3 linked regions of the Danio rerio genome follow. The protein of the gene in region 1 interacts with the protein of each later gene in a pairwise test. Links are inferred from orthologs where the notes say so. Each region holds a gene or a part of one and is shown in the gene's direction. Other genes may lie near its edges.

Region 1 (3,668 bases):
GATATTTTTCAAGACACTTCTATACAGCTTAGTGACATTTAAAGGTTTAATTAGGTTAATTAGGTTAACTAGGCAGGTTAAGGTAATTAGGCAAATTATTGTACAACGATGGTTTGTTCTGTAGATTATCGTGAAAAAATATCGCTTTAAGGGGCTAATAGTTTAGTCCCTAAAATGGTGTTTACAAAAATTAAAACTGCTTTTATTCTAGCTGAAATAAAACAAATAAGACTTTCTCCAGAAGAAAAAATATTATCAGACATACTGTGAAAATGACCTTGCTCTGTTCAACATCATTTGAAAAAAACAATGTTTAAAAAAGAAGAAAACAGTTTGAAGGGGGCTAATTATTCTGACTTCAACTGTATAAACTACAAACAAATCTAGATAAATAATGAAAAAGCCAGTAACATTTCTTTTAGTTTTATTTCTTCTTGAAATTCTTGATTACGTCCTGAATACACATAGAGAAGATAGATCCAGTTTATGGTGATCTTGATGGGTTTGTTTTTATTAGTCTTAGTCTTTTTGGCATAACTGTCCATGCAGCCCTGCCACATCCTTGTTTTTCAAGTAGCATTTCCTTTTTCTGCCGCAGCTTGTATCTTGTAGCTGTCAGTTTTTGATTGAGGGTAATTGGGGTGATTGTAACAGATGTACTAGATGTACTAGACCAGGGACGAGGGTTGCAAATTAGCTTTATGCTATATTCCCTATGTACACAACATCGGTTGACTTTGTAAAACAATGTCAAGTGTATTGTCTCTGTTAAATAAACAAGCAAAAAAAAAAATGAACAGAGGAAAAGACCACAAACAGATGAATATTCTTTCCCTATTTTCTCCAATTATATTCTGGATCTCTGGGCCTAGAAAAATAGCTGATTTTAAATTGCTAAACATACTGTAATGTATTTATTTTGACTCACTGTTCATTTCGAAGCTGTGACCAATAATTTTAGCCTTCTAGTGTTGTTAGCTATGTATTTAATTACACTGATTTGTTATCAGGACGTCTCCAGAGTTCCAGAAACTTCTTGGAATTGCCATGGAAATGTTCTTGCTGTGCAGCGATGACAAAGAGTCTGACGTCAGGATGGTGGCCGATGAGTGCCTCAACAAAATCATCAAAGTAACTCATTTGTAGTTTACATATCTGACATATATTCAATTGGATGATGATTGTAGTGGTGTTTTTTTTTTGTTTTGTTCAATGGTAATATAATTTCTTTGTTTATCTTTGCAGGCATTGATGGATTCCAACTTGCCTAGACTACAACTTGAACTGTATAAAGAGATTAAAAAGGTAAATCAGACTCAATAAACTTTTTGTAATGAATGTTTAATTTATTAGGAGTTCTTTTGTAAATGCATGTCAGTGTACTGAACTGGAGTTCTAGGATTACGTTGTGTGGCTGATTTATATTTAAGTTACATTTTTGTTGCACTTTTGTTGTTAATTTGCGATTTATCTGCAACAATATTTGATTATTTGATTGGTTTGATTATTGTTTTTGTTTTTAGTAAAATTTTTTGGGGGAAATGCTATAAACTTCACAGGCACATGAGTCTTGTGCTCTTTAAGTAAATGTACAGCTCACTAATGGATCACTTTACTGTGTGTGTGGTAACAGAACGCTGCCTCTCGGAGTCTGCGGGCAGCCCTGTGGAGGTTTGCAGAGCTTGCTCACCTGGTGCGTCCACAGAAATGCAGGTATGCTCAACTTTTGGTCACTTACTTCTAGTAGACTGGTCAGGACCCAATTATTGTGGAACATTGTGGGAACAATCATAGGACTAGCTCAAAACAAAGGAATGTAGTTTACTGCAAACGTGGAATTTGCCAAATTAAAGATAAATAAATTGAAAGTAGGGCTTCACTCTTAAATTGCAGTCTTGACTAGTGCTTGTTACTTTTAAATTTACTATGATCTTCTATGTGAAACTGCTTTGACACAATTTACATTGTGAAAGCGCTATACAAACAAAGGTGAATTGAATTGAATTGCATTGAATTTAAACAATGAAAAGACTTTTTAAATTTGATGTTGCAGAACAGAGTTCATTCCATAAGTATTTCATATTTTAATTTGAGAACGCATGACGTATATAAACAGAAACTGTTATTTTCAGAGTGTCAAAATAAAGGTTTGGTTTGGAGGTATTTTGGTTTTGGACTATTGTTCTGTTGAACGCACCCATTCATTCAAAGTAATTACAACAAAAAATGTTCAGAGATTTTATAGACTTAAAGGGATAGGTCACCCAAAACTGATTATTCTGTCATCATTTACTCACTTTTTTCTTGTTCCAAACCTGTTTGAGTTTCTTTCACCTGACAAACACAAATTAAATTTTTTGAAGAATGCTAAAACCTGTAACCATTGACTTCCACAGTAAGTAAACTAAGTAAACTATTCCCTACTATTTTCATATTTTCTAGATAAAATATTATATTTTGTGTTCAATGAACACTTGAGGAACATTAGATAGGGAATATATGTTCATTTTTGGGTGAACTGTCTCTTTATGTGTATTTTGTTTAACACAAAAAAAAAGCTGCAATTTATTTTTTACTTTTTCCATTAAAATGGAAATAAACCAAATTTTGTACTAGTATATGAATTTAAATACATATTTAGATTAAAGTTGAATTCCATTTGTATGTAATATTGTGGTGTTTATTCTACATGATTTATCTATGCACTTGATTATGTTTTTAAATATTAATGTGTCTTTATAATGTCTACCTTTCATGTGCCATTGGTCTTGTTGTCTGTCTTTATCTTGGTCATAGCAGGTAAATAGTTTGGTTTAAATAAATTTTCCTTCAATTGAACTCTTAAATTTTTAGCAACATAGGGCTCAAATAAAAATAAATAATAAAATAAAGCATGTGAAGGTGCCAGAGGTAAGTCGCTTTAGAGTAAACTGAGTATATTCAAATCTGCCTCAATTCTGCTGTATTTCCATTGATCAAGTCAGTTCCTGAAGAACATCACTATAGCGAAGAAAAAATCATTGCAACTTCTGTTTCATGCTGATCTTAAGCTGTGACATGCTTTTGATTGTAAAGATAAGCAAACACAATAAATCCTAACCCTCATTGTCACCTTTCCCAGGCCGTACCTTGTGAACCTGCTACCATGTTTGACACGAATCACAAAACGTCAAGAAGAGACTGTGCAGGAAACTCTCTCTTCTTCAATTCCTAAAATCATGGCTGCCCTCGGACACTTTGCCAATGATGGAGAGATTAAGGTATGAGCTGAAAAAGTAGCATTTCCCAAGGTTATCATGTGTTTACTTTATTTTAAATTTGGTCAAAGTAAAACATTTCAGAAGACCACATCAGGCGATTTGCAATAAAATGTACCTTGATTCAAAAGTCATTAGTCATTCTGGATGGCCTTATGTATTTGACATGAAAATAAGATTGCCTTGCTACTGAATTCTGTGATTTGGCACCTGAGTGAGGGATTTCCCTCACCGTTATCTTGACTGTCTGATCTGAAGCCGTAAATGCGCAGTGGTGACATCATCTCCTCAATATGGAACATGACTCACTCAGGCTGGATTTAATTATCCATGAGCCTCTTCTCCCTCGCATCAAGAGACGGAAAGAGTCTGTATTCTTGCCAAGAACACATTCACTTTTTAAGACTAGAG
Region 2 (3,721 bases), about 18 Mb from region 1:
CTCTGCGGCTCACGGTGGGAATATTACGGAGACTGTAATTATGAAATCATTTCATATTCACAATACAAATAATTAATTCACACTATGGAAATATAAACGGATCAAGTTATAAATTAAATGTCAACCAATTATTTAAAGAGGTAGCTTCAAAAAGGACTTTTATTTTAATAAAAAATATACAAATAAATTAATAAGTCTATAAATAAATCTAAATTAATATCTTAGATTAATAAATTTTTTTTGATCCTACAAATTCCCTTAAAGTAAAACCATGTTGATTTATGAAATAATATAAAATATTAGAGATTAATAATGGGAGTCTCTGCTTCTGTTTAATGGTCTTAAAAGTATTGGAAATCAGATATCTTTTCCTTTAGAAACACAACAGTAAGCGGTATTTGTGATAACATTTATTCACAGATATCTCTCAACTAGTTCATGATGATTTGAGGCTCGAGTTGTCGGGTCGGATTAGAAAGGTTAAAGCTGTCTGATGCTACAGGAAGCTGAGCTCGAGGCTGAACAGCTCATGGTTTGGGGGATTTGGGGTGTAGTAATGCAGTTTGAGTGACATGTTTAAGAAATAGTTTGACATAAAAAGATTATCTGTGTGAGCGGTTGGAAAAACCCTGTAAAAGTAAATGGATTCAGAATAAAAACACCTTGATAATGAAGATACACTGCGATAACAAACGCCAATGCTACACAATTCATAAACACTAACATTTACATTTAGTATTAGAACTACTAGTTTTTTACTTTGATTTAAAACATTTATTATGACAGCTCGTCACTCATAATGAATCAAGCAATCCATTATGTTGACAATAAATACAAAATAATGGAGAAATCATCTTTGGCGCGGGGTCTCGGTGGGCGTGGCCACGATGCGTCAGGCAGCGTCGCTGTTTTCTCAGAAATAAACCGTCAATCGCGCTCCTCATTCGACCTCAAACACCGAACACGCACAGTAAATGCGCTTTATACATAAAGACATCCTTAACGAAGACCCCCTGAACACTGTACGCATGTTAATCTACTCTTCTGAAGCATTATTGAAATGAACGGCGCGTTATGCGTGTGCAGTTTGTCGACGCTTCCTCAGCCTGTGAGGCGGAAGTGTGACGTGTGTTTAAGCGGTTGGTGCTCAGTTCCACCGCTCCTGTTCAGCTGTGTTCGGTTCACCGGGATGAGCTGCTGTCTGTAGCGGTCGGTGATGCTGCGGCGGGTTCGGGCTGAGCTCCGGCAGGCGGTGAATCAGATGGCGAGAAGACCCGTAAAGATACTGTGCTGCGGTGCCGTACTGCTGACCTGCGCGCTCCTGCTGCCCATAACACTCACCTGCGGGTAAATACACTGATGAATATCAATATTATATCATATACTGCTGATCATAACACACACCTGCGGGTAAATACACTGATGAATATCAATATTATATCATATACTGCTGATCATAACACTCACCTGCTGGTAAATACACTGATGAATATCAATATTATATCATATATTACTGCCCATAACACTCACCTGCTGGTAAATACACTGATGAATATCAATATTATATCATATACTGCTGATCATAACACTCACCTGCTGGTAAATACACTGATGAATATCAATATTATATCATATATTACTGCCCATAACACTCACCTGCGGGTAAATACACTGATGAATATCAATATTATATCATATATTACTGCCCATAACACTCACCTGCGGGTAAATACACTGATGAATATCAATATTATATCATATACTGCTGATCATAACACTCACCTGCTGGTAAATACACTGATGAATATCAATATTATATCATATATTACTGCCCATAACACTCACCTGCGGGTAAATACACTGATGAATATCAATATTATATCATATACTGCTGATCATAACACACACCTGCGGGTAAATACACTGATGAATATCAATATTATATCATATATTACTGCCCATAACACTCACCTGCGGGTAAATACACTGATGAATATCAATATTATATCATATACTGCTGATCATAACACATGATGTAGATGTGAGTCTCAGCATTGATTTCTATAATGTAGATTCTCCAAAACAATGTCTAAATTCTCTCGTGTCTGACATGCCTCGCCCCCTTCTTCTCATTGGCTGTTCGTTTGATGCACTTGTGCTTAACCACTCCCACTGGCCGAGCTATGAGAAAAACTACACGCTATTGGCTGTTTTGTAAGAGGGAGGGGCTTCTTTATGCCCTGCCCCCTCTTCATGTTTCAGTTGAGATTGTCAAACATCAAATGAAAATGCAGATTCCAGAGCTCTCCAGCGGAGCTGTACCTGTCAGTGTGATTATAGTGTACAGTGTGTGTTTGTGCTGTCAGTCGTGTGAAGAGTGTAGTGTCTCCGGCCCGTCCGCCGATGCGGTTCTTCCCCGCGGAGGCACCAGTGCTGGATCTGTTCCTGGGTCAGCTGGAGGAAGCGGATCGGCTGCGGGAGGAAGCGGATGTGTCGGTGCTCTTCTTCTACGCCCCCTGGTGTGCTCACTCCATCACAGCACGGCAACACGTCCAGCAGGTGGCGCTGCGTCTGGCCGACCAGGTGAGTGTGTGCTCTGTTTACATGATTTACACTGACGAGCGTTATGTATATAAAACCAGTTTTAAAATAAAACAATAATAAAATGAAAGGAAAAATAGAAAGAGTTGGACAGATCTATACTCAACTTTCAGATCTATACTCAATATTTAGATCTATACTCAACATCAGATGCATACTCATCATCCAGATCTATACTCAATATTTAGATCTATACTCATTATCCAGATCTATACTCAACAATCAGATCTATACTCATTATCCAGATCTATACTCAATATTCAGATCTATACTCAACTTTCAGATCTATACTCAATATTCAGATCTATACTCATCATCCAGATCTATACTCAACATCAGATCCATACTCATCATCCAGATCTATACTCAATATTTAGATCTATACTCAACATTCAGATCTATACTCAACATTCAGATCTATACTCAACATTCAGATCTATACTCATCATCCAGATCTATACTTATCATCCAGATCCATACTCATCATCCAGATCTATACTCATCATCCAGATCTATACTCAATATTTAGATCTATACTCACTATCCAGATCTATACTCAACATTCAGATCTATACTCAACATCCAGATCTATACTCAACATCCAGATCTATACTCAACATTCAGATCTATACTCAACAATCAGATCTATACTCAACATCCAGATCTATACTCATCATCCAGATCTATACTCATCATCCAGATCTATACTCAATATCCAGATCTATACTCAACATTCAGATCTATACTCATCATCCAGATCTATACTCATCATCCAGATCTATACTCAATATCCAGATCTATACTCAACATTCAGATCTATACTCATCATCCAGATCTATACTCAACAATCAGATCTATACTCAACATTCAGATCTATACTCAACATTCAGATCTATACTCAACATTCAGATCTATACTCAACATTCAGATCTATACTCAACATTCAGATCTATACTCAACATTCACATCTATACTCAATATACAGATATATACTCATAATTCAGATCTATTGATCATCGTATATGATGATGACGATGATGATGATGCGTGTCCTGGCAGGTGCAGTTCCTGGCTGTGAACTGCTGGTGGCATCAGGGCCGCTGCAGGAAGCAGAAGAGCT
Region 3 (2,208 bases), on another chromosome or scaffold:
CATATAATATTTTGAATTTTTATAATTTTTCTTTAATTCATGAGAAAGACTTGGTTCGATCAAGTCGGTCGAAACGTTGTGTGAGTGATATTAAAGACTTTTGAGAGCTAAAGTGGCAGTGTGCCGATTTTCTTTTGGTCTTTTGCTACAAAGACTTGGTTTGAACCAATCAGCGTGCTCTATTGTGAACGAGATGCAACTTCATTATTATTGCATATATTGCTTCGGAGACTGTATTTACCAGTTGTAGTGTTCAGAGAAACACCATATTGTGTTGTCAACCATAATTAAAACAAGAAGTAGAATAATTGTTCGCAGACACGGGTCATAAGTGTTGCATTTATAAATGTGCCGCAACAAAGGTTTTGTTTCCATTTCCCCACGATGAGTGCACAGCTCACGTATGGACCTTACAATGGTCTGCTCACATACAACAAAAATAAGTTTGTAAGGAACATTTTTTATCCAAGAGCTTGTCGCATCTGGAATTGGTGAAATCTGGATTTCCACTAGTCTTCTTAAAAAAAAAAAAAAAAGACACTGTTCCAGTTTGTGTTGATTGTCCTGTCTCTACGGATTTGGTAAGTGTGTGATCAAAGTTCTTTGTCTATGTTTCTCCATATTTCCAAGTTAGTTAGTATCGTCAGCAGACAGTACTCTTTCAGATTTTAAAGACATACCTTAGTCAAACTGATTTGGCTTTTTAGTTTACAGTAATATCACTACAATATTATGGATTGAAAATCCTCCACTTTCTCACAGCTGTAGAGATCCGCTGTAAATGCTGCTTTCTGAATCACTGTCTATCTTCCCTGTGTCTGTGTTGCTGATTTGAAAATCAGTTGAACGTAAAGTGTGCATATTGAATCTCCCCTTTTTATGCAAACCTTTCTCTTTCACCACTCGCCACTCCCAGTCAGAGAGGGGTTCATGGCCCCTTAATCAAAAAATACACTCACTCAAAAATAGATATGACTAGAAACCAAAAATCTAGAATTTTCCTTCTTAACTACTAATTTGAAAAGTCAAAATTGACCATATTTTTAGATTTAAATTATGATAAACATGTTCCATGGAAACCAGTTTGATATTTTTCTTTAAACCCTATATAATTTGTAAGTGGGTTATAATTTTCGTTTTAACATCGTCTTTGGACAAAACAAAAAGTCATTGGAGCCTAAAACAACAGTAGCTCCCCTTTAATTTAAATTGATATATTTTACAAATTGTGTGCTTAAAAAGTCATCATCTAAAAAAATCTTCTGAGAAGCACACACAATTTCACCCTTGGTGAGACACAAACGTCTGGTAGATTTCAGAGTTGGAGAGCGAAAAGCGAGACCTGGAGAGGCTGGTGAACGAGCAAAAAGCTAAATGTGATGCAATCGAGAGACGGGAAGCAGAGCGGAGGGACATTGAGGAAAAAAAGCATGCGGAAGAAGTTCAGTTCCTCAAACGAACCAATCAACAACTCAAGGTAAAAAAAAAAAAATAGACTTCTTCAAAGATCACCATTACTTTTCCATACTCTTACGCTTTCATTTGTTTATTTAGGCACAACTGGAGAGCATAATCACCCTGAAGAATAAATCCTAAATATTATTAGAACAATAATACTTCAACTCAAACAAATTCAACAAATAAAAGATTTATACGCTCTGAGAATGTGTTGCTTTTTCACCAGACAATAATGGCACTCAAGTACATGATCCACATTTCAACATTGCTGAATCTGGACGTTGACTTAAGTTAAAAGCTTTTGAAAATGCACAATGCTGAAGAGAATTAGCTGTCAGAGTGCAGTCGTAATGTTTAGGATGATGGTTAGCATCACAGTATGATTAAAGTGCATCACAGATCTGCCAAACCTGCACCTTTACACAAATCACTGTGATTTGACTCCAGATCTTCCGAATCAGCCGCCAACGGGACTCTGGAAAACGGGATGGATGGGACTGGGTATCTGATGATGTGCTCTTATCGCTTGGCTCGATTGGCTTTCTTGCCATCTGAGGGAATTTTTCTGTTCTTATTCTTGTTCTTGACGTTGTGTGTCTCATAATAGCGGACTCCCACTTTCTTCACTTTCTGGGCACGCTCAATTCTCCTTTTCTGTTGGGGTGAAGTTTAACAGAGAGAGAGTCACGTTTGGTCTGTTTTTTTTTTTTTTTTACTGTTTTTTTACTTAAGATATTTGGATGAACTTGT

Evidence for each region.
Region 2: the proteins of htt (region 1) and txndc11 interact in binary tests that used the Homo sapiens proteins (3 or more experiments, as listed by UniProt). The link is inferred for Danio rerio from reciprocal best matches to the Homo sapiens genes HTT and TXNDC11.
Region 3: the proteins of htt (region 1) and dnali1 interact in binary tests that used the Homo sapiens proteins (3 or more experiments, as listed by UniProt). The link is inferred for Danio rerio from reciprocal best matches to the Homo sapiens genes HTT and DNALI1.

What each region holds. Positions count from the first base shown.
Region 1 is NC_133176.1:44,454,619-44,458,286, reverse strand, and holds part of htt (huntingtin), read left to right. Parts: intron 1-1,010; coding exon 1,011-1,131; intron 1,132-1,245; coding exon 1,246-1,305; intron 1,306-1,633; coding exon 1,634-1,713; intron 1,714-3,121; coding exon 3,122-3,260; intron 3,261-3,668.
Region 2 is NC_133176.1:62,612,990-62,616,710, reverse strand, and holds the start of txndc11 (thioredoxin domain-containing protein 11), read left to right. Parts: upstream 1-881; 5' UTR 882-1,216; coding exon 1,217-1,347; exon of another isoform or gene 1,348-1,593; intron 1,594-1,828; exon of another isoform or gene 1,829-1,863; coding exon of another isoform or gene 1,864-1,977; exon of another isoform or gene 1,978-2,020; intron 2,021-2,366; coding exon 2,367-2,583; intron 2,584-3,660; coding exon 3,661-3,721. UniProt on the Homo sapiens protein: May act as a redox regulator involved in DUOX proteins folding. The interaction with DUOX1 and DUOX2 suggest that it belongs to a multiprotein complex constituting the thyroid H(2)O(2) generating system.
Region 3 is NC_133191.1:37,142,712-37,144,919, reverse strand, and holds the end of dnali1 (axonemal dynein light intermediate polypeptide 1), read left to right. Parts: intron 1-1,312; coding exon 1,313-1,477; intron 1,478-1,530; exon of another isoform or gene 1,531-1,554; coding exon 1,555-1,596; 3' UTR 1,597-1,662; downstream 1,663-2,208. UniProt on the Homo sapiens protein: Involved in sperm flagellum assembly.